Regions from separate parts of the Mus musculus genome. Here all the other regions are reported to be linked to region 4. Evidence: microRNA targets listed by miRTarBase, many of them from high-throughput screens and not tested one by one. Region 4 holds a microRNA gene; each other region holds the end of a gene's coding sequence. Distances are between the middles of the regions.
Evidence for each region. The annotated mature microRNA mmu-miR-181a-5p reads AACAUUCAACGCUGUCGGUGAGU and lies in region 4 at 1,869-1,891, opposite strand. An mRNA with a match to its seed (bases 2 to 7 or 8) in the 3' UTR can be bound and repressed. Matches are read on the target gene's strand: a 7mer-m8 pairs with bases 2 to 8, a 7mer-A1 pairs with bases 2 to 7 and ends in A, and an 8mer does both.

Region 1 (4,347 bases), not on the chromosome of region 4:
GTGTGTGTGTGTGTGTGTATGTGTGTGTGTGCGCGCGTGCACTAACTTGGTTTGTCTGAAAATAATCACCAAGTATGGTGGTATACACTTGTAATCATAGTGCTTGGGATGTAGAGGCATAAGAATCACAAGTTCAAGGTCACCCTCGGCTACAGAAAGAGTTCGAGGCCAGGTTGGACTTTGTCTCAGAAAGTAGAACCAGCCTTCCATCAAAGGTTTTAGAGGTGAGAGGCTGTCAGCAACACAGATGGTGCTTCCTCCCACGCAATGCTTGTGCTGCTCCATCAGGAGATGCACTTAACACAGTTCTACAGTTAACTAGGTAGCTCTTGGACCTTGTCATAGCCCAGTGCTTGGGACTAAAGAGTGGACCAGTGTTTGCTGTGCTTTCTCATTTCTGTATCCAGGTATCTTCATATATGTGCCTTATAAGGATCTTCTAAAAATATTTATGAGTCAGACCCTATATTGTCCTTTTCTAGTGAACTATTTGTCCTCTTGCTTTCTTATATGACAAAGGAGAACGAAGATTAGCCTAATAATAGTATCCTCTGCCTTGATGATACTTGAAATTATAGTGTTTCTCATACTTTAGCTCAGCTGAGGCAGAAAGCATAATGTGCTTTAAATAGATTTTTATTTGTTTATATTATTTTTTCTCCCATACAGGAATAGCATTACAACCTAACATTCAGAATCCTGTTACACACATACACAGGCATGCCACATGACCAGGTCGAGGTGGTTGTGTCCTTGAGTCTGTCGACACATCACAACATGGTCAGTCAAAGATTCTTCACTTCAGCCAGTCTCAACACAAAACACCCAACAGAGATGCACTCAACTTGTTGGTTCCATTTGGAACTAGGTGGTAGGGAAAGAAGGTATTAGAAGCAGGCTGTGGTTTGTCTGCGTTCAGTCCCCTCACACAAAGCCACCCAGGAGCTCTGGTAGGGTCCTTGTTGCACCTAAGACGTTATAGGTCCCAGCAAGTTGATCAGAGGGTTCCAGGCTGGGGGGCAGGCACACTCCAAAACAGCACCAAACCACACTCACACACACGGTGCCCTGCTGGGGCTAGACTGGCAAAGGTTAGAAAGTGACACCAGCTCAAGAGAACCACTCAGACTTATTGGAGAAAGCGCAGGTTGCCCTTTGATGTAATTGGGACTCACTCTAGAAACAGGTCCCTCTGACATCCGTAGTTTTGGCAAAGTGCTGGTAGTACTGACTTTAATACAAACTGGTACAAATTTCTCTAGGGTCTCTGAAACCACAAATCAAGACAGACTCTCTAACCTCCTCCTGTCTAGGGTTGCATAGGACTTTGTGAATTCTGGTTCCCTTGTGTATTCAAGTTCTGTGGTTTAAGAAAAAAAAAAATTCCTGAAGCATGCTCAAGGTGAAAGGCACATACACAGTCAATACAGTATGACAGGGTCTGATGCTTCAGGAGTCAGACTAGCAGGAGACTGAGTAGTGTTGGTTCTTAGACATCTATACACAACAAAAATATTGCCACACTCAAATGCTATAGCATCTATAGGAAAGTACAAAAGAAAAATAAGCCTTGCAACCAGATGAGAAATTGGAGGGGTCTAGAACTACCGGAGCTTTGAGAAATTAGGTCAGGAGCGAGGCCTTCTGAAATTTGAGCCAAATGCCCTATCAAGCTTCCTACAGCAGCAAGATCATGGACATTTGCCCAGGACTAAGCCTAGGCCCCAACTGGCAGTGAGGAGTAGACAAGAAGGGCAAGAGGGAGCTTCAGCTCTTAAAAATGCTGAAGATCCTAAGCTGGCTGGGAAGTGACCTTAGGACAGTTGGAAGAGTAAGTATACTACTAGGTTGTAACTGAAGAACTTGGGACAGGAACTAATAGGGCTCTAATAAGCTAGTGTAAAATTTTGATCTGCTTATAGTTCCCATTTGGCTTACTGGGCTAGGAGACCCTAGCAGGGCTTCCTCTGTCCCCATCCTGGGGACATCCTCTCCCATCCCACATGAAGCCTAGTAAGAAAGGATCAAAGAGGGCAGCTACTTTTACCCTCGTAGGAATGCAGTTTTCTCCAACCCTGGCTTGGCTCTGAGACCTGAAACCTGGGGTTGGAGGGAAGGGAAGACCTGTGTTAGTGTAACAGGACATCTAAAGGTTTTAAGGAAGGAAGAGCACACACTTTAAAAAGGACAGCTAGAAAGAACCGGAAACAACTTGGGGCATCCCAAGAGGCTGTTGCTGGTGTCTGAGCCCCACCACAAGAAAGAAGAAGCTGGCAACCCCATCCCTGTGCCCTACCCAAGAATTCCTTACTCCAGATATTGAATTAGAAAGGGGGGAGGGATTATAGGGCACTCAGAAAGAGCCCTGTGGGAGAACATTAAGAAGACTCTTGAAGGCCCTGAATCTCTGTAAGAAAAATTTGGGAATTGGGACAGTGAGGCTCCTGGCCTCCTCTACCCAGGAGTGTTTATTATCCAGCCATATTGAACAAAGTATGAAATATAAGGCCAGAGGCAAGATAAAGGCAGAGCTGTCAGTCTGGGGATGGCTTTACCTCATAGTTGTCCTCCTTAGCATCATGCCTCCTCATTCTTGCCTTGGGGTGTGTTTCCTTTTCCCTGCCTGGAAATCCTCTGGCCTGCATCTCTCCTAAGCTAATTCTAGCACCTTGGGCATATGAACAGAGATGGTCAGGATGATGGGGCCTTACCCAGCTTCTACTCCTGGGGTGGCATGACAAGGTAAGGTGACAAGGTACAAGCCCTTCGGACTCCAGACTCACAGGGACAGGGGTGGGTAGGGGTTACTCCTGAAGGACAAATTTCAGGGAGGGGGGAACCCTGGAAGGCAGGATTATAGGAAAAGGAAATGGGGGCAGACTCCAGGCTCAGGCCTAAGACCAGGGCTTAGCTACTCTGACCAAGCACAATACCAGCTCCCAAGATGCCCTGCTCCCTGCTACTTCTCAACCCACCTGTCCCCATCTGCGGCCCCCACTAGGCTGCCTGTTTCCCTCCATTCCCTTCACCTTATCTAACTTACAACTCACTCTCCTCTTCCACATACTTAAACTTTCTAGGCCTAAGCAGCAATAAGGAGCCCAGCCCCCAGGGCAGAGAAAGGGGGAAAACTGAAATCAAAACCCATGCCTGATCCCTGACTACAGGATGAGGACAATGGCCCAGGCCTGGCAGGTTGCACCTGCAGGATTGGGAGGGAATTGCCAGGAATGAAAAAAAGGGAACAAGAGTGGGAGCGATCCCAAACAGAAGAGTAAGTCTTGGAAAGTAGGAGCTGAAGCGGAGAAGGTGCCAAGTCAGGGTCTTAGGAATCGGGTGGGCTAAGAGGGAAAAGGTGAAGGGGCGAGAGACAAGAATAGAGGTCCTAAAAAGAAGCATGGGAGAGTGGGTGTGGGGAGTGTGAGGGTGGAGAATCAGACACTGAGAAAGGAGGGAGGATGACCCAGGATGAGAGAGGTTAATAGGTGAGTTAGACTATAAACAGGGAAGTAGAGGGCCATCACCCCACCTCAAAACTTAGGAAGGAGGGAGGTTGTAGTATCCAGATGGAGGCGGGTGGACCCCCCAACACCCTCGAGCAGCACACTGGCTGCTGCAGAGGAGGCGGATGGGACCAGGAGTCGGCGAGGGATTCGCGGTGCAGCAGGGGCGCTCAGTAGTTGAACTGGCGCTGGCACGGCTGGTAAATAAAGCTGCCCTGGTGCTTGGGCCGGCGCGAACGGCTCTCCCGGGCGCGATTCTGCCGTTGCAACACTTTAGCACTCAATGTGTGGCGCTCAGCCCGCTGTCGGGCTCTCTGCAGCCTCCGCACCTGGCCAGCCTTCTCCAGCAGCACAGCTCGAGCGGGCATAGGAGCAGCTGCGTGGTGCAAGGCCCTGGGTTCCCGGAGGGCAGGCGCCAGCTCTCTGCAGAAACAGAGTACAACTCTGTCAGAGAGGGAAGAGATCAGGGTTGGCATCCCACACCCTATTTCTGCGGGGCAGACCACTGAGGGGTACAAATTCTTCCTTTAATCACAATTAGAGTTGTGATTAAGCACCTGGCACAGGTAACTAGGCAGAACAGGGAAAAAACCCTGACCCCCCAATACAAGTCCTACTCTGATTCTGTCTGGCAGATCAGGCTGGTCCCTCCCAATCCTCTGAGCCAGGGCTCTCCCAAGCCCCACCTTAGCCACAAGACCACGCCTCTTTTCCTTCAGCCCTTTATCCCAAGGACACGCCCCTGCTAGTCTCCTAGACCCTAGCCTCCAGTCTCCACCCTCAACCCACTCACCCATCGCTGAGGTCCTGATCAGGCAAGGCAGCTTCAGGGTGAGGGGAAGGT
Region 2 (4,347 bases), not on the chromosome of region 4:
TACAGTAATTCAGATGTCCTCTCTCAAACACAGAAAGACTGAAGACAGCCACAAAGGTCTGAGGACCCACTGCACAGAATGGATAGGAAAGCAGCATGATCGCAGACAGAGTTTAAAAGGTAGCTTTCATCCCGTGAGGTGACAGAGGCAGGAATTAGAAGGTAATACAATGATGATTAACAGTAAGGCCTTGGGAGTGGAAGAAACAGTTCAGCTCAGAGCAGGGCTTAGCATGTATGAGGCTGTGGCTTCAATGCCAACGGCATCACAAGTGATCTGCTTACAGTCAGATCTCAGACGTTTCCACACACCAATAGAGACCTCTAGGAAGGCTGCTTAGTCTTTCTACATCCTGTTTCTTTCCCATACTCAAGATACAAAATCTCCACAGGACTGTTCCCCCCAAAAACAAAATTGTGTGTAAGCACACATACATACAGCAGGTAGCATTTGTTTGGTGGAACAATGCAGATTTATCATTAATATAATTCAAAAGAAATAGAAAAATAATATAAGTGTAAAATGTTTAGAGGAGAGCAAGGCACAGCAACTCATAGAATGATTCCAGCACCTAGGAATCTGAGGCCTCAAGTCACAAAGCCAAGCCAGGCTGGGCTATATTGCAATATTCTACTGGGGATGTGGGGGAAGAAACTGGGAATGAATACTTTAAAGTCAGAGGGAAAGAGGGAATATATTTTAAATTCTGGTTTTAATACTGATGGTATTTGGTGAAATGACACACAAGTTTGAATAAGTAGGGGTTTTTGTTTTTTGTTTTGTTTTGTTTTTTAAAGAAATACTGACTTCACTATGCCATGGCAGTAGGTGCGTAAATACATAGCTACGAAGGCAAAGAAACAGACCACACTAAGCTCTGACATTCATAGACAGACAGTAACTATTAAGTCCCTGGGCTTGAGAATGAATGCACAGAATAAGAACTGACAATAGCTGGAAGCCAGAGAGCATCAACATTTAAAGATGGCAGAGGAAGTCTTCAAAGGATGCTGAAAACAAGAAGCCAGGGAAGGTAACAGCAGTGCACATGCAGAACCTAAAGGATAAAGGTGTCTCAGAAAAAGAACACTCAGCCAAGTCAATCTGCCAAGCAAGCGCATGAGTTAAGCACTGAGCAGTCCCTGGATCTGGTACGTTATCCACATGAAAAATGAGCAGGCACTCCACATACAGACAGAAGAAAAGCAAATTGTGAAGACAGTTGAGGGAAAACAAGATACCCTGCAGTAAGAATTCAGAGCAAAGACAAAGTGACCTGATACAGGACTAAAAGGGTTAGCTTCAGACAGAGAGAAGAGGAGGCTCTCTCTGTCAGAGAAAAATGAAGCTGACATTGAGGCAGAAAAGGCAAAGCATAGCCACAGAACTGAGCGAGAGTCCTATAGCTACAGTAGAAAGGTGTGGGTAGGAAAGACAGAGAGAGAAGCTAAGCCCTGTCTTCAGGCCACACTGAGGACACAGTGAGAGGGACATTAAACAATGACATGCTGAGCATTTGTGAACAGGGAAGTTCTCCCTCATTTACACTAATCTTAATAATCAGAAATGTGGAGTCTCATTCACTTCAGACATTGTCTACTATATCAGAATAATATTTTGTTTTAAAATACACCAACAATTACCCACCTGTTGTGTTAATTTTACTAAGCTCCTTTTAAGATTTGGATTTTTATTTTTAACTATGTGTATCTGTGGGGAAGAGAGTACACATTAGGCTAGTGTCCTAGGAGGCCAGGGAGAAGCCATCAATTCTGCTGGATCTAGAGCTACAGGAGGGAGCAAGCCACCCAAGCTGGGAGCTGAAAAGCACACTCTGGCATTCTGTAAGAGCAGTTCCCATTCTTAACACTGAGACACCTCTCTAGCTCCCCCTTTATATTCCTTTTGGGGGATGTTTTTATAATATCTTCTTGGTTTCTTCATTAAATCCCATTTCTCTGAGGTACTCATTTTTGAGCAGTGCATATCAGATGTTTTAACAAGACTTAATATGGTGCTACTAACACACACACAAACACACACACACACACCCCTTGTAAAATTTACAAACAAAAAAAGGTTATATGAAGCTGGAAAAATGGCGTAGTGACTAAGCCAAGTTTGATCCCTAGCACCCACGTGGCAGCTCACAGCCATCTGTAACTATCATTTCAAATGACCCAGGTATCTGACCTCTACAGATACCTGTCAAGACATGTTGGACACAGACATTTATGCAAGTCAAACATTTATACTCATAAAATAAAAATAAACACATCTTTTTATAAAAAGATTATATTCTAGTTTCAGTTCTCCATTTCTTTAATCTATCATTGACACGTGCATATGACATTAATGCAGAAAATTTCTGTTCAGAACAAATAAATTGAATGCTCATAGTTTTCTTTAATTTCATTATCTACCAAAGAAAGGATCTACGGTCCTTCCATATTTCACAAGGGTTTCAATAATACCAATAAATTCTACCATGTAACCTAATACCTATTAATTAATTATCTAGCAAGAAAGCTAGGCACATCATATAACTTATTTTTAACTTCCCAGTACCTATGGAAAACATATTATTCTTTTCATTTTACAGCTTAAATAAATGCAGAGAGGTTAGGTGAAATGCCCACGATTGCAAAGCTGACATTCAAGTCCAGTTCCACATGCTTCAATTACAGGCACTACACTAAAATGCCTCAGAATATTAACAAACTGGGTTCTTTTATATATGTCAGATGAGGTATTACTCATAAATATAAACTTTTAAATGATAATAAGTATATTTAAACATTTGATAGCTAAAGGATTAGCCAGAAACACTATCGTAACATGTCTCCCCTATGATGTAAATTCACTTCAGTTGTTTCAACATAAGACACATAAAAGGAAACTAGAACAAATAATCATATTGTGTTTAAGAATAACTAGTCTACATCAAAAATCTTCCCACCTGATACTTGGTATACATACTCAGTCTAGTGAGTTTCATTAAATTTAACTGTCTTATCTTTAAAAATGCATTTATTTGTCTCTCAAAGTTAAAAACTACCTATGCCATAATATGTTTCAAAATCAGAAAAAATTTAACTTCTGATTAGAAACACTAAACCTCTTATGTCACTGATTTTGAAAGTCTAAATGAAAAGAAAAACATCATAATTTGCTATATAGTTTTCATACAGTGAGTTTTCCCTACCAAGGTATTTTTCAGATAGCCAAGTCATCCATCAACATACTATGTGAGGAAGTCTAGATATTTAACAAAGAAAAACGCTGCCAGGTCATCTTTATTTTCCTTAACAAAACACACACACACACACAAAAACCATTTATATATCATCATTATATTACAAATATAAATAATACCAAGAATTCAAGTACAGTCAAGTGCAGATGTATTTCCTATTACTATGTAAACATTAACTATATACATTATGTGCCTTTGGCCCAGTTGTAAAATAAAAGACATCAAGAGAAATACTGCACTTGACTGTTTAGTTGCATTCTTACTGAGAATTCGTACCAATGCGTATGTAATTAAGGTTACAGCTTTCAGCATTACTTGGTGTAAACACCTAAACAGATATTTCCTTCCCACTGGCAAATATCTCCAAAGTTAAAATTTAATGATGAAGTATTCAAAATCTTAATTATGTTTCAACCCTTAAATACTATGGAAGAAATTATTCCTAGCCAAATTTGTTCCTATGTCAAAGTGGGTATTATTTACAAGTTATACATGTAAAAAACATTTTTTTAACTTTAGAATGCACAGCTATGCCTCTGCATATTAACTGATACCACGTGCTTTTACTGTCAATACCTAGTGGTAGTACTTGGATACACTGAACTTGCTGGGCAATCTGAATATGAATAATATTAAGCGTATATCTAGAAGGCAAATTTTTCTTGAGTACCACAAAAAAAAAAAAAAAAGCAGTAACTAACATCAACAAGACTACAAATATCCAGTTGAAGGCACATGGAAGTATTTACTACTTTGTCACCAAAGATTCTTCACTTGGTTCAAGATTAGGAACAGAATCAGCTCTGAGAACAGGTGACTTGGCTTCGTTTGTTGAGGTTTCCTCGTTCTCAGTCTCTTCTTGGTTCTCTGCTGGCTCCTCTGGACCAGATGTTTTTTCAATCACTTGGCTTGTCTGCTCTGTAACTGGTATTTTGTCATCTCTCTGCTCAGTACTATTATCAAGAACATCTTGTTCTTCTAAAGAGTCTGAAAAGAGAAAAAGACATAAGATTTCAGGGATATCTAAATGTCAAAACTGCTAAATAAGACAAGCCAAAGATAAACATACAAACATACTAAGAAACGACAGA
Region 3 (4,347 bases), not on the chromosome of region 4:
AGTATTTTATGACTTAAGAAGGTTAAAATGTGTGGAAAAGGCTTTCCAGTAGTTATAGTCTCTCAAGATAAACTGTTTAACTTTGATTTCTTTTAACATAGTTTACAATTCTTTTTCCCTGTGTGTATTAAAATATTTTGTTTGAATCATTACATTTTAAGGCTTTATGTAATTTTTTGCCTTTCTTTTTAGTGTGTACAGTGGGTGGATGAAGCAAAACTAAACCAAATGAGGCGAGAAGGCATTCGCTATGCTAGAATTCAGCTTTGCGACAATGATATCTACTTCATCCCTAGAAATGTCATTCATCAGTTCAAAACAGTGTCAGCAGTATGCAGCCTAGCCTGGCATATAAGGCTTAAACAATACCACCCTGTTGTGGAAACCGCTCAAAACACAGAGAGCAATTCCAACATGGATTGTGGTTTAGAAGTTGACTCCCAGTGTGTGAGAATAAAAACTGAATCTGAGGAAAGATGCACAGAGATGCAGCTTTTGACAACTGCTTCACCGTCTTTCCCACCTCCATCAGAACTTCATCTACAGGATCTGAAGACTCAGCCTCTTCCAGTTTTCAAGGTGGAGAGCAGACTGGACTCTGACCAGCAACACAGTCTGCAGGCACATCCAAGCACTCCTGTGTGACATGTACATATTCAAACACATTTTTTAACTTTTTTAAATTTTGATGTGAAGTTATAGTTTTATAACTGGCTTAAGTTAAGTTTTATTGGAGAAATCTTGCCTATAATTCTATAAAGAGAAATGACATTCCACAAATGTCAAGCATATCTTTTTTACACAGATTATGCAAAGCTAAGAGTTGTATCGTTAGTACAGTATGTAATAGTGGGTCTGCTGCTACTTTCTGTTTTAAGGTGTGAGGTTACAATTCAATCTCTTCTTCAAATCAAAAAAAGAATTCTCTGGAATAGCAGGTTCTTACTTGGTATTTACTTCCCTTGATTTTATCTTTCCTTGTCTCTTGCCATATTTGCTTTATGTGGTAGAAAGCAGATTTATGGTTTAATACTTGTGTCTTCATGGCACCTCGTTAGTTTCCACAGTAAAATGATATTTGGTTGCAGGAAAGGCTCCTGCATCTGGTACATGGACAAGTGAGTTGTTTAGTTCTAACCACAAAGAAGACATGGTCTCTAAAGAAAACTCTCTGGCTTCTGGTTTTCAGCAAAAGAGGAAACACAGCATTCTCTGATCCAGGCCGTCTTTTTGTGTCTGTTATTTAAAACCCAGTGGCTACTTCAATTAAACAAACCTCTAAAGATGACAAACAAAAATCTAAACATTGGCTATACATGATCCATGGTTCATTGATCTTTTCTAGGATATTTACTAACTATACAGGCTGTTTTGAGGAGGAGAGATAATGCTGACCTGTTGTGCTTCCTAGTATCCTCATATCAAAGTTAGAGAACTGCACCAGTCTTACTGATGAGGGCTGCCACAGCTGAGCATCAAACTAAGGAGAAACTATTCTTGTGACTTGGCATCTACTTTTGAAAACACTTTACAATTTTATCAGGCTAATAATACCTGGGTTTGTTCATTGTTATTCAGTGTTGCTATTTTCTAATAGCAGGCATTAGACTTCCATCCTAGTTTCAGGTAGGCTGAAACTTAGTGTCTGGATATTTACTTTGTTTTCCCTTTTTCAAACAGACCTCCTTCATCCAAGTAGTGTGGCTCTTATTTTGGAATGTTCATGTGCTATGCATTATCCTTTCTCTAGTTATCAACTTGGTAGGCCTTTTGTTTACTAAAGGAAGAGTACTCTCCACACCTGAGACCAGATTCTTGTATCTACCTGGTTACAGTGCAATTTGATTTTTTTTTCCTGGATGGTGAGATTTGAGTTATTTGCATTAACATAGGCGAAAGAAAAAGATGCTGCTTTGTTATGTCTGTCACCATGGAAACTTCGCTGCATCTTTGGAAATATCAAATATGAATTTTCTCTAAAATATTCTGAAATAGGTTAAATCTTATATAAATATTACTTTGTGCAATATTGTTGTGTAGTTAAATGCATATTAGCAAAGTATAGAGGTCACTGTGTAAACCGATAGAAAAGTAACCATCAGCAAATACTACAGTGATTAGTTAGAATCTGTATTATTCCTTATATATATGTATATGTGTGTATTCTCTGTTACAAAGGATGAAGACAAATAAATAGGGAAACACTTCAATGTAAACCATTTATGAATTGGAAGTGATGTTGCTTTTAGTTATCTTTGTAAATAAGGTAATTAGAATGGTATGAAAGGTAATGTGATTATTACAGGGGTGTTTTTAAATCCTGTGTATAAATTCTAGGGTAAATTCTAGTTTATCAAACTAGTTTTTAAGGGACCTTTGAGGGTATTTTTTGTTGTTATTTTGTGGAGAAAAGGGGCATATCACAAAATGAATGGGTTTGGGTTATTTCTTATTTTTATTTTTTTCTGTCCAGAAGAATTTCATAGAGCTTTACCAGGCTGTGCAAAGAAAAATTCTTCTCAGGCAACATTTGCTTTTAAAAATAATCATGAAGAGAAAAAGTTGTTAACGCAAAAAGTTTTATTTTGTTTTTCTTGTCTTCCAAGATCCGATTTCCCCACCTCCCACTTGCCATCCAGCAGATGCCATCCTGTCATCTAAGCTGGTCATTACTAATACACAAGGAGACTGTCTCCTGACAGCCAGCACTGTGCAATCACTCAGGAACCAGCGGATCTGCAAAGACCTACAATCAAACGCAAATCTCCATTTTCCTTTTACAAAGCATTCTACCCTCACTTCCAGTATAAACATATTAAAAGAATATAAAAATGTTGAAAATCATGTACTAATGAAGTCATTGTATATTAGATTGCAATAGAATGGAAAGACACATTTAGCTAGTAATGTACCTGGAAATCCTGAATGTCCTACGTGAGTATTAGATTTTGATAGCATGCTTTAAAGACTGATGAATATAAAAGCAGAAGCTTCGAGTTTCCTGCTGCTTTCAAAACTGTGTCCTAGTTGAGTGATACAAATGATCGCAAGTTTTCTAAATCATTAAACTATTTGGTTGGTGGAGTGAGGCATGGTCTGGTATCCTCTGATTTGTAAAATAGCGATGGCAGTGAAGTTGTAACTGAAATTGAAGCTGATCTTCCTTTCTGGTATGTTATCTATTGTGCCAGCCCTTGAGATTACTTGCAGAATGTGGCTATAAGTTTTAGTAGTTTATGGATCAGAGGGATATTTTTAAAATATGCTAATCGAAAGAACCTAGTAAATTAAATATTCCTAACAGCAAATAGAATGATTTTATGGTAACCATTAAAAAGAATAAGTCTTCCCCTGTCCCAGAGGTCATTCTATAATTATCAAGATAGGATAAGAGTTAGGGTTACGATTCTGAGAGATGTCCCAAATTCATAAAGCAATAATAATAACCTTTATATTGGTTCCCTCTTCCAAAGTTTAACTCTTGAGAAATGAATTCTTAGTCTTAATTGTACTTTGCTTATTCAGTACTTACAGTTTTACATGATTTTTACTCTAAGACTTTTGGAAAGTGCCCTGCGCCCTCAGAAACAGTCGGACTATTAGTTCACAAATACTACAAGCTCTTGTATGGGGAAAAGAGCTTATTTTAAATAATTTGCTAAACTTTAGGAAATGATATATCAGTCTTAACAGGCATAAAGATCTCACCTAATGACTTGAGAAACTTTTGCTTAGTGCTTTTTTTCCCCTGTATAAATATTGTCTAGAAGGAAAGTTAATATAGGAACAAGACTCCAAAATCCACGAAAATATGTTCCTAGTGAATATATCCTTTATCATTAATATTAGCCCATTATATTTTCATCTGTATTTGCCTTTTAAATTTATTTGCATCTATTAAAGATAATTAGGATTACTGAGTTTGTGTTTTTCTAATAAATCTGTTTCATCCTTTCAGTAGCACATGCCAGAGGCTCACATTTGTGCTAAGTTTCATGTTTCAAGACAGTCTGTAGCCGTATTTACTGGTCATGCAAGTAGAGGAGATACACATCACCAGTGTTTTTCTTAAGTGCATAAAGGACTTATCCTCGTCCTGGAAGTCTGTTGCTTTAAAAGCAAGTATCCATAAACATTATGGCCTTCCATTTAAAAAATCTCCATACATTTTTTAGGATCCACTTGTGCATGTAGTTGAGACCACCGTCTCTTAAAATATAGCACTTTTCAATTCTCTCTAAAGAAATACTTATGTAATACTATCACACGTTGTAAATTTTCATGTAATAGTGTTTTCTGTGACTAAACTTCATTTTGATTGGCAGCTAAGACTTTTTTTCCTGTGGC
Region 4 (4,347 bases):
TGTATACACACACATATACCTATATATCTACATATCTCCATTACCTTAGCATATATACGAATACACACACACACACATACACACACAAATACACATATGAAATGAAATACTATCCAGGCTTAGAAAAGTTTATCAACAAATATATACCTGGATGAATTTATAATCAATGAAATAGAGGCCAGTGCCGCAGGATCCACTTAAATATGGAACTTAAAGGGAATGATTTTATGGAAGAAGAGTAGGAAGTTTGCTACCAGGGGTGGAATAATACTGGTGATTTGGTTTCACCAAGACCAGCTTCCATTAAAAAAAAATCTGCACAATTGGGAGAGAGCAATGTTTCAAGATGTCAAATTGTGGGCTGAAGAGAAGTAATGAGAGAACACACAAATAGAGACTCTTCTGCAGGTTACTAATTAAGTGACGTTTCCAAACTCATAGCTTTTTAAGATAGAAAAAAGAAGGGGGCTGTTCAGTGAATGAAGCAGGAATAGAAACTTTTTTTTGAACTTCTTGTTTTTTGTTGAGATTAGAGCCTTGTCATACGTTAAATGGAACGAAACAGACGGTGGGAGAAAGGAGTTATGATAGATAGAGATGCCCCAAGCAAGGCAGGCACTTGTGAACTAACTACGTAAAATACTGTGGGAATGAATATTCTGAACACTAGAGCAAGGTCCCAGGAATGGATTTCTGTAGTGGGAGTTGAATGTATATCATAATAAACTGATCAAGAGAGAGAAAGGACAATATGTTTGATAGATTTTTTCCCAACGAATTAAAATCTATTAGGTACCATGTACTAGGTACCATGTACACACTGTATGCTGAACATCCTGTTATAAATATTAACTCCAACCACTGTACTTACTATTGGAGGTGATGAACCTTAATGACAGATGTTCTTTTTGAAATTATAGAGCCAAACTAGTTAGGAAACACACACACACACACACACACACACACACACACACACACACACACACACTTGCTTGAAGACAGTCCCTGGAATCAAGTCTACCATTTCAGAAGAAAGTAGAGGGTAAATAAAGATGATGAACTATAATCTTAAATCTGAGGTCTCTCTGGGGAAACAAATCTATTGCATGATTATAATGAGCCCCTGGATAACAAAGTACTTGGCTATTGAGGTACTATCCCTCTGCCTACCAATTCCATAGAGAGTAGAGCCATTTCAGCGATTCTTTATGCAGAGCAAAAGAATTCCCTCTTGCTTCAAGCCCATTTTGACCAAGAAATCTAATGAAAGATGAGGGGATGGTTATTTTCTGTGTAACAATGTGACGGATAACGGGGCAGGAAGTAAGATATTTCTTTGGTTCTTCCTCCCACCAGCACAGCAGAGCAGGAAGCCGTGCCAACCCAGGGCTACACAGTTGATTCTGGGCATCCAACACTTTAGCATTTTTAAGAAATGCCCCATTTGTAACCCCCAGGAGTATAGAAAAGCAGTATTCTTATATAAATTAGTGACTTCCTCACAGAAATAGGACTTGATATGAATTGAATAAACAAACCTGAAAGTTCAGACAGCAGAAGTTAAACCGAGAAACGGCGTTAATACCCCCAGGACCTCTATTAGGGAGGGAACGTCTGTTGATTGCGACAGCAAAAAGCGGGGCCACAGTTGCATTCATTGTTCAGTGAGCTTTTCTACACAGTTCAACCCACCGACAGCAATGAATGTTGATTGTGACCTTTGTAAACATAGTCTCTGAAGAGGCGGGGAGAATCCTGTCGGGTCCTGCTTTGCGGTTCTGTCTTCAGCAAACGCAGAGGGCCATGGAGTAGATGATGGTTAGCTATAGGGTACAATCAACGGTCGATGGTTTTTATTTGAATTCCAAACTCACCGACAGCGTTGAATGTTCACTGAAGCAACCTGTGAGGCAGAGATGTGCTGATTTAAACAGTATCTGTGGGAGTCTGGAGCAGGAGGGAGGCAGAGGAAAGCCCAATCCTTTAACCAAACCTGTCACACATTTTAAACCATTTCAAAAGAGTACAGAAGAAAAGAAGCAGGATTCCTCCAGCCCAGAGCTTGGCAAACCTCCACTTTGTGCTGTGTCAAAGAAAAGAATCGGATTTTTTTTTTTCAAAAGGGAAGAAAAGTCCTTTTGGGGGGAGCTTAGTTACAGGCTGTTAAAGACAGGGAGAATTTATCATTCAACAAAATTGGAACTATCAAAAAGCAAAACAAATAGTATCTAAGTATCTCATAATTTAAATATTGGTATGTATATAATAAGAACTGCAAGGACGCATGTAGGTCATGCAGAATCAAGCAGAAACCACTTAGGTTTTCTCAAGTTACATTGCTAACAATTTTGAACTTCTATGTTTACAATGTGCATGGAATAAGCATTTATTTTACAATAGGCATTTTAATTAGTATAATTTCTTTTAAACATACTTATTTTTAAAACAATCAAGGAATCAAACCAATTTAGCACATCTTTCTTTGCTTATGACACAAGACTTTAAACTACAATGAAAATTAATACAACCTATGCCTACTGCCTGAAATTCAACTCCTCTCACTTTGGTTATTATATCCTAATATTGTTATTTGTTTTGATTGAGTGGATCTGGCAGTAACTTCTATCCATTTCCTAGGTGTTCTTGAAATGAAGTGCATTTACAAGTTAGTATGAACTCTATTGAGCATGTCTTCAAAACTGATTTCAAATATCAACTTAAACAAAAATCCCTTTGTACTCCTCAAAACTAGGGTAGAAAGTTACTACATTATACTTATGTAGACTCTTAAGTGGCTTTAATAAGTATATATATATATATATATATATATATATATATATATATATATATATGTGTGTGTGTGTGTGTGTGTGTGTGTGTGTGTGTGTGTGTGTGTGTGTAACTATTAATAAAATATTGGTGAACCATTCAGTCCAAATTTTTATACATATTCATTTTATTTACTTAGAATATTGTATGCTAAACCTGTAATCATTTATTATCTTGTACACGAAGAGATTACAGGACAAGTGTCTCTGGCTGGTATTTTGAGGTAGATAAGGTAACGATCTGCTGATGGCATGCATTCAGACTTCAGATAGTTACAAGACATAAAACTGATGAATCTGAATAGTCCTGTGTGGCTTCCTTTGAGATAGCTTTCCTGCAGAGGGCTGTCTCTTGTGGAAGGAAAGCAAGTCTTCCTGGGACCATCTGTGTTATCAGTTTCACCAGAATGCATGTTGCTCATGTTCCCTTGCTTGACCACTGCACTATCATATTCAGGCCAGCATCCCATTGCTTCTATACATACCTGTCATTGCTTTTGATATCATTTTTTCAAGGCTGCTGAGCTGAGACTCTAAGCCATGATCATTGCCTTATCTCAATATACAAAATTGGAACTACGATCAAGCAATTTCCATCCGAATCACAATTAATAGCAAAGCACCGCAATGTGAGGGGTTTCCAGAACCTTCTAAAATTCTCTGTAGAAAATATAAGTCCAAATTTCTCAAATTCTTAGAATAAAATTACGGAGAATACTATCATGAAGTTCTTAGGAGATTGAAAGTGATTGGTGTTTAGTAAGAAATTAGATTAAACATCACATCACTGACATATTTTAACTCCTATTTATCCAATGAAACATGTACTTTTCTCATGGCTATAGTTTTTGATGAGAAAAACCTCTCAATAACTTAAACTCACTCTCCATGAGGAAAAGCACCTCTGCTCTTGCTGCACCTGCCTCACAGTAAGAGAATAACTTCAGGACGGTATTCTACAGGGGAAAGATGTCTACTTGCTGATTTAGCTTACCTTTCCTCGGCTTTCTACAATGCTGGTTCCAATCACTATTTTACTAGCTAACCTTGTCTGCACTGTTATTTTCCAAATTTGATAATTGGCTGGAATATTAATGTTGGACAGTATTGAAATTTTACATTTTCTGTCAGGTGTCGAGTCTTATTTGACTATTTTTAGAAAATGTTAAGATTCCAGGATTCTAAATTGGTGTTAACCATCTGCTTCCTTGCAGTTTTTCCTGAATCAAGAGCCACCAGAAATATGTCATTTGTGTGCACGTAGGCAACCATTCTCCCTTCATAATTTTTGGAAGGTCTTCTGGACAGGTTAAAACTGACTTGCACCATTGCCAAATTTACTTTAGCTTTTATTTCTCCTCCCGGGGCTTTGGAAGCATTAAGAAGTTCAGCTTTGCTTAAGGTTAGCGGGTCATAAATAAACCAAAGCAATTTCTTTGCTTTGAGCAAGAGGGTCAGAGAATACATGAAATATCACTTTTAAGCAAAGCAAACTTTAACATGAATTGACAGAGGAGCA
Region 5 (4,347 bases), not on the chromosome of region 4:
CTGGGGTCATTCGGATGTGATGTAAGGGAGGCCCGAGGAACTCAACAGCCGTGGTCCACACCTGCCTCCTGGGAAGCGTATGTACCCAAGTCATATTCTGAAGGCAGGTGACTTTTTTTTTTTTTTTTTGGTTTTTCAAGACAGGGTTTCTCTGTGTTGCCCTGGCTGTCCTGGAACTCACTCTGTAGACCAGGCTGGCCTCGAACTCAGAAATCCGCCTGCCTCTGCCTCCCAAGTGCTGGGATTAAAGGCGTGCGCCACCACACTCGGCAGCAGATGACTCTTAACAAGAGACCCTGTTAGAGGAACCCGGGCTCTGCCTCAGTGACACACTCGAGTCAGGAACAGATTGCTAATGAGATAAGTTTGTCCGGTGGAGTAGAGTGCAGGTTGATGTCCATGTGACAGGATGGAGCACCATGGCCTGCCACACAAGTCACTTCCCGCTCCTACCACTTTCCAAGCACTCGACCCATCCACTCTCAACTTTGAGGAAAGAGTCACATCAAACTTCTGCAAGCTGGTGCTTAAGCGCACAGGGCAGGCCAGAAGAGGAAACACAACTCCTGCTTCCTGCTCATACAACTGGCCAGGGCTAAACCACAAAAGGCTCTCCTGCCACTCAGATCTGGAGCACATTGGAAAAAAATGTCCAACCCTTAGTAGCTGCACTGGACATTCATCCGGAGCTGACCAGGGTGGGCGTTTGGAGGATTCAGCCCCCGTCCTGCCTAGCGCTGGGATCAGCTCACACGGCTCCTGTGTCCACAGGACACAGAGAATACATTGTCCAGAAGGAGGATTATTCTGTACAAGAAACTCAGACAAAGGGGGAGGTTGTTTCCAGCTGCTTGGGGGAGGTGTGTAGGGGTGGGGAACGGGCTCGGCCTCACATTGGGGCATTCCTACAGAGTTCAGCTTCTTCCTTTTAGCAGCAGGGTAAGAGGTGGGCAAGCAATCACAGCCTCTCTAGCCTGTACCCAATGCTGGCACGCCAGAGAGCCACAAGGAACATCTGGGTACAACCTACCTATCTTAGCTGTTGCTCCCCAAAGGTACAGTTGAGTGTCGTGAGCCAGCTAAGTAGGCCAGCAATTCACACTGGAAGAAGAAAAAGAACAAGGTGACCAGGGCAATCAGTAATGACTGAATCCCAGCCTCAGGACAGCACTAGAGGGAAGAAGTCTTGGGCAACCTCTGTGGGACTTGACATTGATTCCATAAGCTTCCACCTTCAGTGGGATGAACCCCTGTGGGAAGCACTCGAAGGTTCACACTTGCTGCTTTCTCCACCCCAGAAACAAGCCTGGGAGACAATGGGAAAGACCTCTGTCCATCTAAGGGACCCCAGTGCAGTAGAAAGTACAGTCCCTAAGCAGAAGACTGTCAGAGACAGGAATGCTGGAGAGTGCAAGTCATCTTTTTACAAACCCCAATCTGCGCAAGTAAGCAGCTCTCGTTTTTCACAGGCACCTCCACATACTCCAAGTATAGTAGGGGTTCCAGATACGCTTTTCCATTGTGGGCAAACTGGTACATGAGCCCCCAAGTGGGAGGCGACAGATTTGTATGCTAAAGTTCTAAAGGGAGGGGGTGGTGGAAATGACAGCTACCAGAGCAACTGAGAGGTGTGGGTGCCACCCACCACTGAGGGTTTGCTTAAGGGCATGCCATGTAGGTGAGGGCCTGAATGTGCTCCTCCTGCGGAAGGAAGATATTCCTGTTCTTGGAGGACAGGGAGCCCATTTCAATAGTATGGTGGGAATGAAGTCAGTTCAGCTGGGACAGCAAAGACTCTTGGGATTGGTAACAGGTGGAGTAAAGAAGAGAAGTCACCTGAAGATACCGAGAGTCTGAAAAGCCCAGCTAGAGCTCTACTCAATACCCCAGGTAGCGTTGACATTTAGTGGGAAGGGACGAGATGTGGAAACAAACACCTGGATGGGCTGATGGGCCAGCCTATTCAAGTGGGGGAAAGGTTTGGCATTGCTTCAGAGCACAGGGCAGGACTCCCCTGGTGTGCTGTGCTGTGGTCAATTAGCTGTCAACACCATTCACATCTTCACAGACCAGCACCAGAGGACCACTTTTCCAGGCCTTTGCTGCCACAGCCTGGTAGAATGCTGTCAGACAGACCAAAGGCCAAAGCCCTAGTGTGTAACACAAGAGAATACAAACGGTGCAGCTGGAAGTCTTAGGGTTTTTAAAGAAAATTAAAGATAAGGGACTACTTTAAGGAAAACAAATTAGAACTGCCTGGTAGATAGCTCATAAACTTTAGTCAGACAACCCTGAGCCAGGGAACATAATTTAAATATCTTTATTAAACAAAGAAACCCTTTGGCCCAATTCTGCTGACTCAATCTCTGCCCTTGCCCAGAAAAGAACGCTGAGAAAGGCAACAGGCCTGGCTGTCCAAAACTCCACTGTTCGTCAACTCTACAAAAGCAGGCAATATGAATGGAGCTGCTGCCCTTCCCACTTTCAATCCAGATCTTATCTGAGCCACACGTTCAGTGAGATGGAAGAGGACAGAGACAGGGAGTCGTCACTGTGCAGACAAATGAACCCCAACCCACGGCACTATAAAACACAACTGCCCTCCACGGAGGAAGACAGTATTCTCCGTGCTGTTGCCTGCCAGAGTCCCTCTTAAGAGCTCTTCCACCTGCTGGACCCTGGGCATCTTTAGCAGCACAGGAGGCTAAAAGATGGGCATGTTTACCTATTTCCCAGGGAAATGCTGAGCTGGTCTCATCACACCTGGAAGTGGCCAGTGTCCTCCAGAAACCTCCTCACCTGTAGCTTTTAGGGCCAGCAGGCCGTACTTGGGCAGGAGGGCCTGCAGAGACAGTATGCCCCCAACACATACAGGCCACCATGGATAACTTGATCCTGGGCCCATTGGCTCACTGGTGTCATGGAGATGAACCAAATCACAATAAGTTCTGCATATAGGACAAGGAATGGCAGGGTTGAAAGGTAGGAAACTATCATTTATTCAAGACCCAGAATTGCATACACCATGCTAAGTGTTTTACATTCATTTTCTCATTTTAATCCTCACAACAACCCTACGAGGTAGGTATTATCACCATCTACAAATGAGAACACAGGCTCAGAAATATTAGGTCACTTTCCCAAGTTCGAATGGCTATTCACAGTGGAGCTGAGATCTGTCTCTTGCTGAAAGCCTGTGTTCTTTTTATTGTCCCCATCTAAATAAGCCTTGAGCAAAAAATCATGTCATTGCTCAACTCAGCACAGATCACCTGAGAGTGGAGGCTGCCGTCCACACTCACCGCTGGTACGGATGCATTGAAGCTGACTTGATGTTGGTTTTTATTCCACTTGGCATTTTCCCTAAAAATAACAGAAAGAGAGATCTGAAGCAAGGTGAACTTTCACAATAAATCAGAAATGCAGCCTTTCAGTCTATCTCAGAGCCTCTGTGGCCTCTGACTCTGGATGACAGAGATTACTACAGGCTGCAGTTCTTCCTGCTTCCCTGACTGAAGACAGCTAGGGAAAGGGGACGATTTGAAAGAAAAGAGGAGGGGTCTGAACAGCCTTCTCCCCTAGGATGGTCTTCTTTCTGCTCATCTACTTCCAGAAAGGACAGGTAAGCCGTGTGGCCCCCGTTTAAGGTCCCAGGGAAGGAGTACTATGTTCTCAGTTGTTTCAGGGCAGAGGTACTGTGTTCTCAGTTGTTTCAGGGCAGAGGTACTGTGTTCTCAGTTGTTTCAGATGTACTTCTCCCTAGACAGCCTACCCGCATGAACTGCTTCCATGAACCCCACCAGACTGCTCTCACAGGAAATAAAAACGAGCGTGAGAGAGGGCAGGGAGCTAGGGCCAGGGTGCGGGGAAGGACCCATGAAGGTCCGCAGAACTGCCAGCTTGTTAATCTGCGATTATCTACCGAACGGTCTTGACTAAGGGCTGGCCTCTCATTTCTCTAACACACTGACACCCAGAATCAACAGGACAGGTGAGGCAAAGTCTGCGATGGACGTAAACAGCCACACCAGCTGCTGCTACTCAGGGTCCTTCATCACGCACTGGTACATGTTGCAGAGCTTTCAACTGTTTTCGAGGTGACAAAGCAAAGGAGGCAAATCTCCAGGTCTAAGGGGAGGGTGCAGATGAAGGAGGCTTAGATGATCTAGCTCATTCCCACACTCCTGTGCACTCAGTCCATGTCACCTTACCTGGTTGACCTGCCTGAGCCATCTGAACTCCACTGAGCATTGGCTGCTGCTGGTTTGGAGCACCTGGCATCTGAACCTGCGGTAATCCTGAGGCCCCTGCAAGGATTGTACCAGCTCCTGGCTGACCGGGTTGCCC
Region 6 (4,347 bases), not on the chromosome of region 4:
GGGGGCAGAGAAAGAGAGAGAGAGAGACAGACAGACAGACACAGAGAGACAATCATATAGTAATTAACAAGTTAAAATAATAAAAATTATTTTATGATATGTGTTAGGTGAGCCAATTTGAAAAGAACATATCCAAATGAATAATTGAATAATTATGTTAAAATTACCATCTTGGATCTTGGTGCATTCCAAGACTCTGGGATCACAATGAAGGCAACGTACCAGACGTCTCTGTGTTGACTTTTCCTCGGGAGTGGAGAAGGGTGAGATGTGCCCCCCTCACTCTTCAGCACAGGCCCTGACTAGCAAACTTCAGCCTGAGGCACATTTTTATGGTCAAATTAAAAACCTTCCAGAATAGAAGTTTATCATGGAAACACTGACAGGGCTTTACCCAGAGAAGGACTAGAGGCAGTGCAGTAATGTGGAGACGATTCCCTCTCAGCACAACTGCACTTCAGCACGGGGGATAGAGTTGTCTAGCCCATGCCTTTGGCCAGCAAACAACCATGATTTAACGGGCTTGAGTCCTGGTGATTCGGTAGCTCGGTGGCCCTCTGAGACAATTTTTCTTTCCTGTTGTTTTTTTCAACTGAAATATGCCTCAAAGGGTAAAGGATTGCAATTTTAGCCTTCATTCACAGATATACTGTTCTCTCTCAACGCTATGTGACAGGTCTGTTAACCACCACTCATAAGGGGGCCCAGCAGACTGCATGCAGGGAAGTCTCGGCGAACGCAAAGCATCAAGTGTTTTCCGCTGTTTATTCTTATTTCCCCTCGACTTAAGTTAATACACACCACGTGTGAGTCAGGTGAAGACGACAGCCAGAACATTTCCAGGGACTGAAGACCGTACCTTTTCCTTCTAATGGTTTGGAACAATTCACACATTTATTGATCATGACAAATAAAGTGGTTCCTTCTACAATGTGGAGGGGGGGAAAATGTATTCATTAAATGGGTCTCATCTACAGAATTGATTTACAGGAAGCAAGTAATGAAGGAGTGTTCAACTACTCTACTCTCAGACTGAAAGAATCCTTTCAATACCATAAGACTGGTCTTGCTAGTAAAGGAAGGGCAGTTCCCATCACCAGACTACCACCATAAGAGTTATATTCAATATGCAAAAATATGGAAACAGTCATGATGGTTCAGTGGATAATTACAGCGATACACAGCCATGATGGCACATAGTTGTTCTATGATACACCAAACAAAAAATAAGATCGATTTGGTTATAGAAATTCAAAGAACACCACCACTTAATTATTTCAAACTGGAGCTATTCTGAGAATGTTGAAGGGAGGATATTTGTACTGGGTAGAAGCAAAGCGGTCTGGATGCACCAAGTCAGCAGCCTGTGCTTGTCTGTTCACCCTCTGAGTTACAACTCTGACATCTAAGATCTTGGTAGCTTGACGCTGGCAAGATTACTGAATTACTGCATTCCATCTGATTGCTCAATATTTCTACTTGACAGGTTACATTCCACTATTTATTCAGCGTAGATCACTGAAATTCTATAGGGATGTGCTGTGATCACCCTTCTGCCTGGGCTCTGAATTCTGAGCTGCTCTTCTGCAACCTGATGAGATAATGTTGATGGAAATGTTCCAGAGCCTTGCACTGTGGGCCTGTACCCCAGGATGCTGTGGCCATACGTTAATGACCGGGGAAAGCAGTAATTCAGAGAAAGGGAAGTGGCAATCTGCTCTTGGCCACAGGGTGTTTTATAGTCACACACGTGGAGTTGAAGCTCAGTGATGCCATCACTTGCTGATTAGAATAGCGCTTTGCTTTTCTGTTCCACAGAAAGTAGTGATTTCGGACCAGTTCTAGTCTTTTACCGATATGAACTCTGACACCGTTTCTGGTGGTCTGTGCCCTGTCCTTAGTCCCAACACCCAATTCAAATAATGTACAGATTTATACCATTTTGTGATTTTATGTGTATCATTTCTGGACTCCCAAAAAGGAAAAGAAAAACTAAATAAATGTTATATTTAAATGTGGAAGAGCAGGAAATGTGGGATTCTGTCATTTAAAAATCTATGAATGTGCAGAACCTATGACTATGTATAAACACAGCAGCTGCAGATCAGTGTAGAGTTCGAAAATAAAGACCTGACTCTGGGAAGATTGTTCATAACTTTCAAGACATTAAAATACATTCAAAGCAAGAATGAGCAAGTAAGGGGCCTGTTGCCGTCCTGGAGTGTAAAATTGTTCTCTCCTGAGTCAAAGCTGAGAAAACATTAGGGCAATGTTTGAGTTGGGTCTTGCCTCCTGCAATCCTCTGGAGCACGGATGTAGCGGAGAAGCACAAGCCCACCTTCTGAAACACAATCGGCTCCCTAAGAAACTCAGGCCTGGGAGACGGACTGTGTAACAGGAGTGAAAAACCAACCCCAGGCAGGCTTTGGCCCCAGACCAGAAAAGCAACACATCCCCCCTGGAGGACTGGAGACCACACTAAAGTAAAGAAAATCATGAACGGGAGTGGCGGCTTCAGCCGCCAAGGTATCTTCTGGGAGACTTGCTGGTACTGACTTCCTGGTACCTAGAGTTACCATGGAATCGGTTTGTTTCTATGAATCCCGTTTTAGAACCTTTTGGATTGTGTTTCCTCTGAACTTTCCCTTCTGCCTCTTTGCAAAGCACTAGCCTCTTGCCCCAGATCTTTTCCATTCTGTGTTGGTTTCACACTGGTGGCTACGGTCCTGTGTAAAAGCAGCTGAGAAAAACAAAACAAAACAAAAACAACACAGAGCCTTGCTTTCCCTTGCTGGTTGGATTCCCAGCCCTGTAGAGCACCTGGTAATTTATTGCTCTTTTTACCAGTGGTTTCTTGAGCTCTTCTGATCCTGAGCAGACAGATCCCAACTCACCAAGCACAAGCCAAGGCTAGGTGGTTCCCCGAGGGTCTGCCTGGCACTAGCAGCAGGTAATGGGCAAGCAGCGTGGCAGGGGCGTCTTCAGCACATCTTTGTATGGAGACAGGGAGAGACACTGTCAATCTCTAGGGTTAGGCTGCCACAGACCCAGTTCTCTCCAATCAAAGCAGAGAAGTCTCTGCAGCTAACCAGCTTACTACGTAGGGACAGGGACTTCCCTTCTTCCTAAGATGCTTAAGAAAAGATGGGTGCATCTGCTGATGCTATAAAATCTGTCATTTTCTAAACCCACAGAGAAGGATTGGCAGTGTGTCATCCTCTATACTCTTCTTGTGTGGACATTTTTTGGGTCTTATGACGCCCCTTGGTCTGCAGTAAAATCAAGAAATATGTGTGAAGATATTCAAGGCCTGAAAAATTCCCCAGCAAGGATTCTCAAGAAAATTCTATGCACTCAGAGGGCTAACATGTGCTATGTTACATACTGCAGATCCTAGTTTGACTGATGAAAACATTCATTACTTCTATGTTAAAAAAAAAATCGCAAATTAGCCTTAACCCTTTAAGGACCCCAATTAGCAGCAAATTACCATTGTCACAAACACCACATGCCTTCTCATTCAGTAAAGGGAACTTGCTACAAAGGTACCCAAAACACACTTTCTGTTCTGCCGGTCAGCACTGAGTGCTAGATAGATCAGATGAACCTGTTTTACAGAAGTTTGGGGAGGGAGGGGGAAATCTCAGAGTCTTAAAGGGTTAAGCTAGGACTTCGAGTAAAAGGGTCTTATTAAAAGGGCGAATTGGGGGAGCGAACAGTCTCAGAGGAGCTGGGGGAGTAGTCCTCCGATTCCGAGTTCAATTCCGGTGGAGCTGGCTGCGCCTTGTACCGGCTCCTCACATCCTGGTTGCGTCTTCGTCGGAAAACCTGCCTCTCCTTATCAAGAGCGGTGGTCTAGCAGGGGCATAAAATGAGAAAGAGGACAATTAGGCCAAGGGACATGGCAGAGAGACTCTAGACAGTTTGCAGTTGGAAACTATGCCGGCTGGCCAGGTTAACCTGCCCCTCATGACTTGCTTATGTCAACAGTCATCATCCTTGCCCATGAAGCCAACAGGTGCAGGCAATGTCGCAGGCAGCAACCTACCCAGTGCCACCAGTTATCTCTCACCCCACATTAAACGGAGCTTCAGTCTTTTGTGTGTGACAGGTAAGAAAGCTCCTTGGGTCATGTTGGCCAACAAGCAGCTTAGGGCACAGGGATAATAGAGCCAAAGGGTGATAAAGTTGTCAGAGTTGGAAACAGAGTCACAAGCTCTGCCTGCGTTAGCGATTTTCACTCTTATTGTCTGCTGATAGGGGACAAGGCAGAACCTTCGGAGGGGTTGGATGAATTTTAACGAAGCCAAAGCCTGCAAGGGAACCTGGCTTGGAATAAAACTAAGC
Region 7 (4,347 bases), 100 Mb from region 4:
CAGGTCCCTGCTCAGGTGTCACTGTAGAGGTCGTGGGACCTGGGAGAATGGAGCTGATAAACACGGTGAACTAATGTCTCACGCAGTAGCCAACTTTATTCAGAGCATCAGACAATTTGTACCCTGAGGGTTAAGAAGAGTCGCATGAGTAAAGTCCTCATGAGTTCAAGCTGCATACAATCACAAGGACAAGCTGCACATGGCAAAAACATGTTTTCCCATAGAGGAACATAAAGGATAGTTTAAACATTTAATTGGGTAACAACAGCCAGCAATAATGAGTAATCAAAGTAACTCACTTTTATTGGCTACACTTGGCTGGAAGAGGAAAACACAATTCCATGTTTGGAAGAAGCTGAGGTCACAGGACTCTTGTTTTCTTGGGGCACACTCATAAGCACCTAGAATTCTCCTCACTTGGCTCCATTCCTGGACCACATTCTGACCATGGACTACAACAACTGTAAGTTGAAATGAACTCTTAACTCCTCTAGTTGTTTCTGGTCATGGTGTTTTCTCACATCAGTAGAATCCCTAAGACAGAAATTGGTATTGGGTTCATAAGATATTGCTCTAATGGACTTAATCATGTTGGGAGGGATTATTGAAGGACTTCAGAGCGCTGGGCTGAAAAAGCTGTTAATACTCAAAGCTTACCCGGCTGTCCTGGGAACCTGGAAGAGAGGCTGAGAACCACTTGGAGAAGGGAGACCTGGCTTGTGCAGTCTTAGAGTGTGAGAGTTCTTCAAAGACTCTATCAGAGTCACTCCTGTGATATTTTCAAGTAAGAATGTGTGGTTCTGGTCAGTTGGGGCTGAAGAACTGTCTGTGGTTAACAAAGGAGCAGAACCACTAAATTGAAACCTTTGCTTTGCTGGGGGCAATTGATGCTACTTAGCTGGACCTAAGAAATCATTGATTAAGAAGAAACCAACAGGGGGCTGGAGAGATGGCTCAGTGGTTAAAAGCACTGACTGCTCTTCCAGAGGTCTGAGTTCTATTCCCAGCAACCACATGGTGGCTCACAACCACCTGTAATGGGGTCTGACACCCTCTTCTGGTGTGTCTGAAGAGAGCAATGGTGGTATACTCATGTGCATAAAATAAATAATAAATAAGTCTTAAACAAAAGAAGAGACAACATCAATGAGGATCACAAATCTTAGAGTGTTTCCTCAGTATTGGTACACAGAAGCTGTGGCCCAGTGGGACCAAGGCTGTACCTTGTTCTGGCAGCCAAACTTGGTAATCTGCAAGAGTCTCCCAGGTGGTACTGGTTCTGAAGGCACGAGGGGGTTATTACTGTGACAAACATGGATTGATCCTGAAAGCCTGACTTGGGCCTCAAGGGAATGAAGAAGGTACACAGGTATGGAAAAGCCGGGATTGGTGTGTGTGTGTGTGTGCGCGCGTGCGTACACACGCACGCACACGTGCACACACGCACCTCAGCGTGTTTATTATGCACAGCTAGCTTCTGTTGGGGTTCTCTGTAGGGAATCAGTCTCAGGTTGCAGTCACCTGAGAGGAGTAAGCTGCAGTTGCTAGTTTTTGTTGTTTGTTTGTTTTTGCACATAATAGTTCATAAAGACTGTGTTAGGGTTAGAGGAAGGTTTTGTCACATCTTTGAGCCTTACTAGTAGGAAGGTTTTGCCAATTCCCATGGGTATGAGGCAGAGATCCTTGTCAATAATTCACATTTACTGGGGACTTCACCCAGTCCTTACATACTCAGGACTCACCCACTCTACATACTCAGGAGTTCACACATTGCATACACACTCAGAACTCACACTCCTTATACACTCAGGAGTTCACAAACTCAGCATTCACCCACTCCTTACACACTCAGGAGTTCACACACTGCTTATACACTCAGAACTCACTCACTCCTCACACACTCTTTACACACTCATGAGTTCACACACTCCTTGTCTACCCAAGAGTTCACACACTCCTTACACATTCAGGACTCACACACTTCTCACACACTCAGGACTAACACTGCTTACACACTCAGGAGTTCACACACTCCTTATACACCCAGGACTCACACTCCTTACACATTCAGGACTCTCATACTCCTTACACACTCACAGCTTCCTCTGCTCTCCACAGTGTCACGGAAGGCAGCTGAGGCTTGGCACCATAAAAGGTCAGGAGAGGCTCTTGGTGAAGACGAGAATGTCTCAATGTGTTGAGGAAGCCTCTCCCTAGGAAAAAAAAATTTTTTTATGCCTGGAATAGAATACATTATAAAACAAAGTGAACCATAAGAAAGTGCATTAGTTTTCAATGGAGTTAAATTTTATTTAATTAAAAGTAGCAAATGTCACACAATTCACTTCATTGTGAGTATTTGTTTTGTACAACTGAACTATTAACCAAGCAGCCTGTACAGTGTAGTCCCTGGGTCCCCTGCACTGCACTTTAAAATCCTCCTTCCCAAGCTTCAATGTCACGTTACACACTCAAGAAGCAGAGGTTTGCTGGGCATGGTGATGCACACCATTAATCCCAGAACTTTGGAGGCAGAGGCAGGTGGATCTCTGAGTGTGAGCCCTGCCTGGTCTACAGAGTGAGCTCCAGGATAACCAGGGTTACACAGAGAAGCCCTGTCTCAGAGGGGAAAGGAAGGCGTGGGGAGAAAAAGAGAAAGGCATAGCTTCTCATTGCAAAGTAGTCAGGGGACCTTTTATGAAGTGAGAAGTCTTTGAAGAATGTTTTATTTTTTGTTGATTTACAAAATGGCATTTTCCATGCCATAGTTAAATTGGTATTTTTATTCCAGTTAATTTTCCTTCTGCTACAGTGGAAATAAACAGGTCAAAATTAAGCAGTTTAGCATCATGGCTGACCAGGCACGATATCATGTCCTACGTGCGCTTTAGGTGATTTATCTACTATTACACATCTGAATCTAGTATGTTCTGGACAATGGATACCGAGGGGTGTGTCTTCCTCATAGACTAAGAGACTATTATAAAAATCAGCGCATGGAATTAACAAACAAAGATGGGATTTTAGACTTTCAGGGGCATGTTGGGATAACTGAATACGGAAAAGGCATTTATGTTTTTGGTTTTTTTCTAGAATCCTATTTCACACATTTTTGGATCACAGAATAACTCAAACGGTTTAACGTTAAGTCATCATTACTTGGTTAGCCATGGTATTGGTAGACGTGTATTATTTCAATTGTATTCTTACCAAACAGGAGCTTGCTAAAGCCCCTCCCCACCAAACAAAAGCCATAATGAGGAGTCACTGATAGTAATAATTTGAAGTGTTTGTTGAAGACAACGACTGATCTGGAGGGTGGATGTTTGTGTTGCTATGACAAGAGCTGATATCATCTTAAGTTAGTTTACAGGGAAGTATTCGGGGCTGTGAAAGATGCATATTTCCAAAGAAACCATATTGCATGCTTGTTTGACAGACATTCTCTGGTTAATTAGTAAGGGCTCTGCATGCAGCTTCAGCCAGTCCATTACTCCACCAGGAAAGCCATGGCTACTACAGCCAGTCCTTGATGTGTCTCAAGTTCTCCAGCAAATTCCAATGTTTGACGGAAAACCAAGCATGTTTTATTTTAAGATACCTATAAAATAAAAAAGCAAACTTGTATTAAAGGAAGGAGCTGTAGCTATTAAGACGTCCCATGAATTGCTTTGTAATGTAGAGGAATCCAGCATAAAAAAAAAAACAGTTAAAGTACTTTAAAAAAATTTTTAAACAATTATTTATTTATCTCATTTATTTTATTAATTAATTTTATTTTTAATTTTCAAATTTTTATTTGAAATAATGAATTGTATTAGCTAAATTTTAAAACAAGGTAAAATGAGCCCCCCCCCCCATGTCAATCAAGCATTTGAAAAAAATTATCACCCATCTGTATAACATTCTTCAGTGAGGTTTATTGGTTGCCTATTGGCTAGCAGGTCCTCAAACCTGGCTTACCTGACTCAAAGCCCAGAAGAGAGGGAGGTAGGGAGGTGACCTTCAGAGCTTCCCTTCCCTTCCCTTCTCCAAATCCAATCCCTCAGTCTCCTCCACAGCTCTGGAGCCAACCATCTGCTGTGGCCTCCCTTCCCCTTTTCCCCACCTCCAGCAGATCACACAGACCTTCTCCTACAGAGTGTCAGCCTTTAGCTCCCTCAGACACTCAGTGGGAACCGCTGGCCTCTGCCACGGAAGCAGGCAGACCAACTTCAGATCCTTCCTCTCTTCCATATCCAACTCCCAAGTCTAATTCCCAGCTCTGTAGCAGACTATGGGCTACGGCTTCTCCTCCCTCTCTGCCCCCATTCCAAGGGGACTAAGTGGATCCTGGTGGAACATCTG

Region 1: miRTarBase lists Trp53inp2 as a target of mmu-miR-181a-5p. Seed matches in the 3' UTR shown: 7mer-m8 at 688-694.
Region 2: miRTarBase lists Lnpk as a target of mmu-miR-181a-5p. Seed matches in the 3' UTR shown: 7mer-m8 at 2,653-2,659 and 7mer-m8 at 881-887.
Region 3: miRTarBase lists Rsbn1 as a target of mmu-miR-181a-5p. Seed matches in the 3' UTR shown: 7mer-m8 at 2,923-2,929.
Region 5: miRTarBase lists Med8 as a target of mmu-miR-181a-5p. Seed matches in the 3' UTR shown: 8mer at 3,039-3,046.
Region 6: miRTarBase lists Dclk1 as a target of mmu-miR-181a-5p. Seed matches in the 3' UTR shown: 7mer-m8 at 3,412-3,418, 8mer at 2,173-2,180 and 7mer-A1 at 1,489-1,495.
Region 7: miRTarBase lists Bend6 as a target of mmu-miR-181a-5p. The part of its 3' UTR that is shown has no 7-base or 8-base seed match.

The regions. Positions count from the first base shown.
Region 1 is chr2:155,386,119-155,390,465 of GRCm38, reverse strand. It overlaps Trp53inp2 (transformation related protein 53 inducible nuclear protein 2), which reads right to left. Exons shown (of 4, transcript NM_178111.3): 3 at 4,297-4,347; 4 at 619-3,926. The coding sequence ends at 3,674. Among named protein-coding and RNA genes, the nearest start is that of Trp53inp2, 6.4 kb to the right of the region's middle.
Region 2 is chr2:74,518,055-74,522,401 of GRCm38, forward strand. Lnpk (lunapark, ER junction formation factor) reads right to left here. Exons shown (of 13, transcript NM_027133.3): 13 at 1-4,243. The coding sequence ends at 4,005. Among named protein-coding and RNA genes, the nearest start is that of Lnpk, 59 kb to the right of the region's middle.
Region 3 is chr3:103,961,968-103,966,314 of GRCm38, forward strand. Rsbn1 (rosbin, round spermatid basic protein 1) reads left to right here. Exons shown (of 8, transcript NM_001356556.1): 7 at 193-648; 8 at 2,607-4,347. The coding sequence ends at 645. Phtf1os (putative homeodomain transcription factor 1, opposite strand) reads right to left here. Exons shown (of 1, transcript NR_030676.1): 1 at 2,569-4,347. Among named protein-coding and RNA genes, the nearest start is that of Phtf1, 4.1 kb to the right of the region's middle.
Region 4 is chr1:137,964,012-137,968,358 of GRCm38, reverse strand. It overlaps Mir181a-1 (microRNA 181a-1), which reads right to left and starts at 1,904; the gene lies at 1,818-1,904. It overlaps Mir181b-1 (microRNA 181b-1), which reads right to left and starts at 1,720; the gene lies at 1,641-1,720.
Region 5 is chr4:118,413,740-118,418,086 of GRCm38, reverse strand. It overlaps Med8 (mediator complex subunit 8), which reads right to left. Exons shown (of 7, transcript NM_020000.3): 6 at 4,212-4,347; 7 at 2,263-3,363. The coding sequence ends at 3,299. Among named protein-coding and RNA genes, the nearest start is that of Med8, 6.6 kb to the right of the region's middle.
Region 6 is chr3:55,533,078-55,537,424 of GRCm38, reverse strand. Dclk1 (doublecortin-like kinase 1) reads right to left here. Exons shown (of 17, transcript NM_001195538.2): 17 at 1-3,855. The coding sequence ends at 3,691. Among named protein-coding and RNA genes, the nearest start is that of Gm31796, 8.1 kb to the left of the region's middle.
Region 7 is chr1:33,849,767-33,854,113 of GRCm38, forward strand. It overlaps Bend6 (BEN domain containing 6), which reads right to left. Exons shown (of 7, transcript NM_177235.3): 7 at 2,286-3,601. The coding sequence ends at 3,588. Among named protein-coding and RNA genes, the nearest start is that of Gm15455, 13 kb to the left of the region's middle.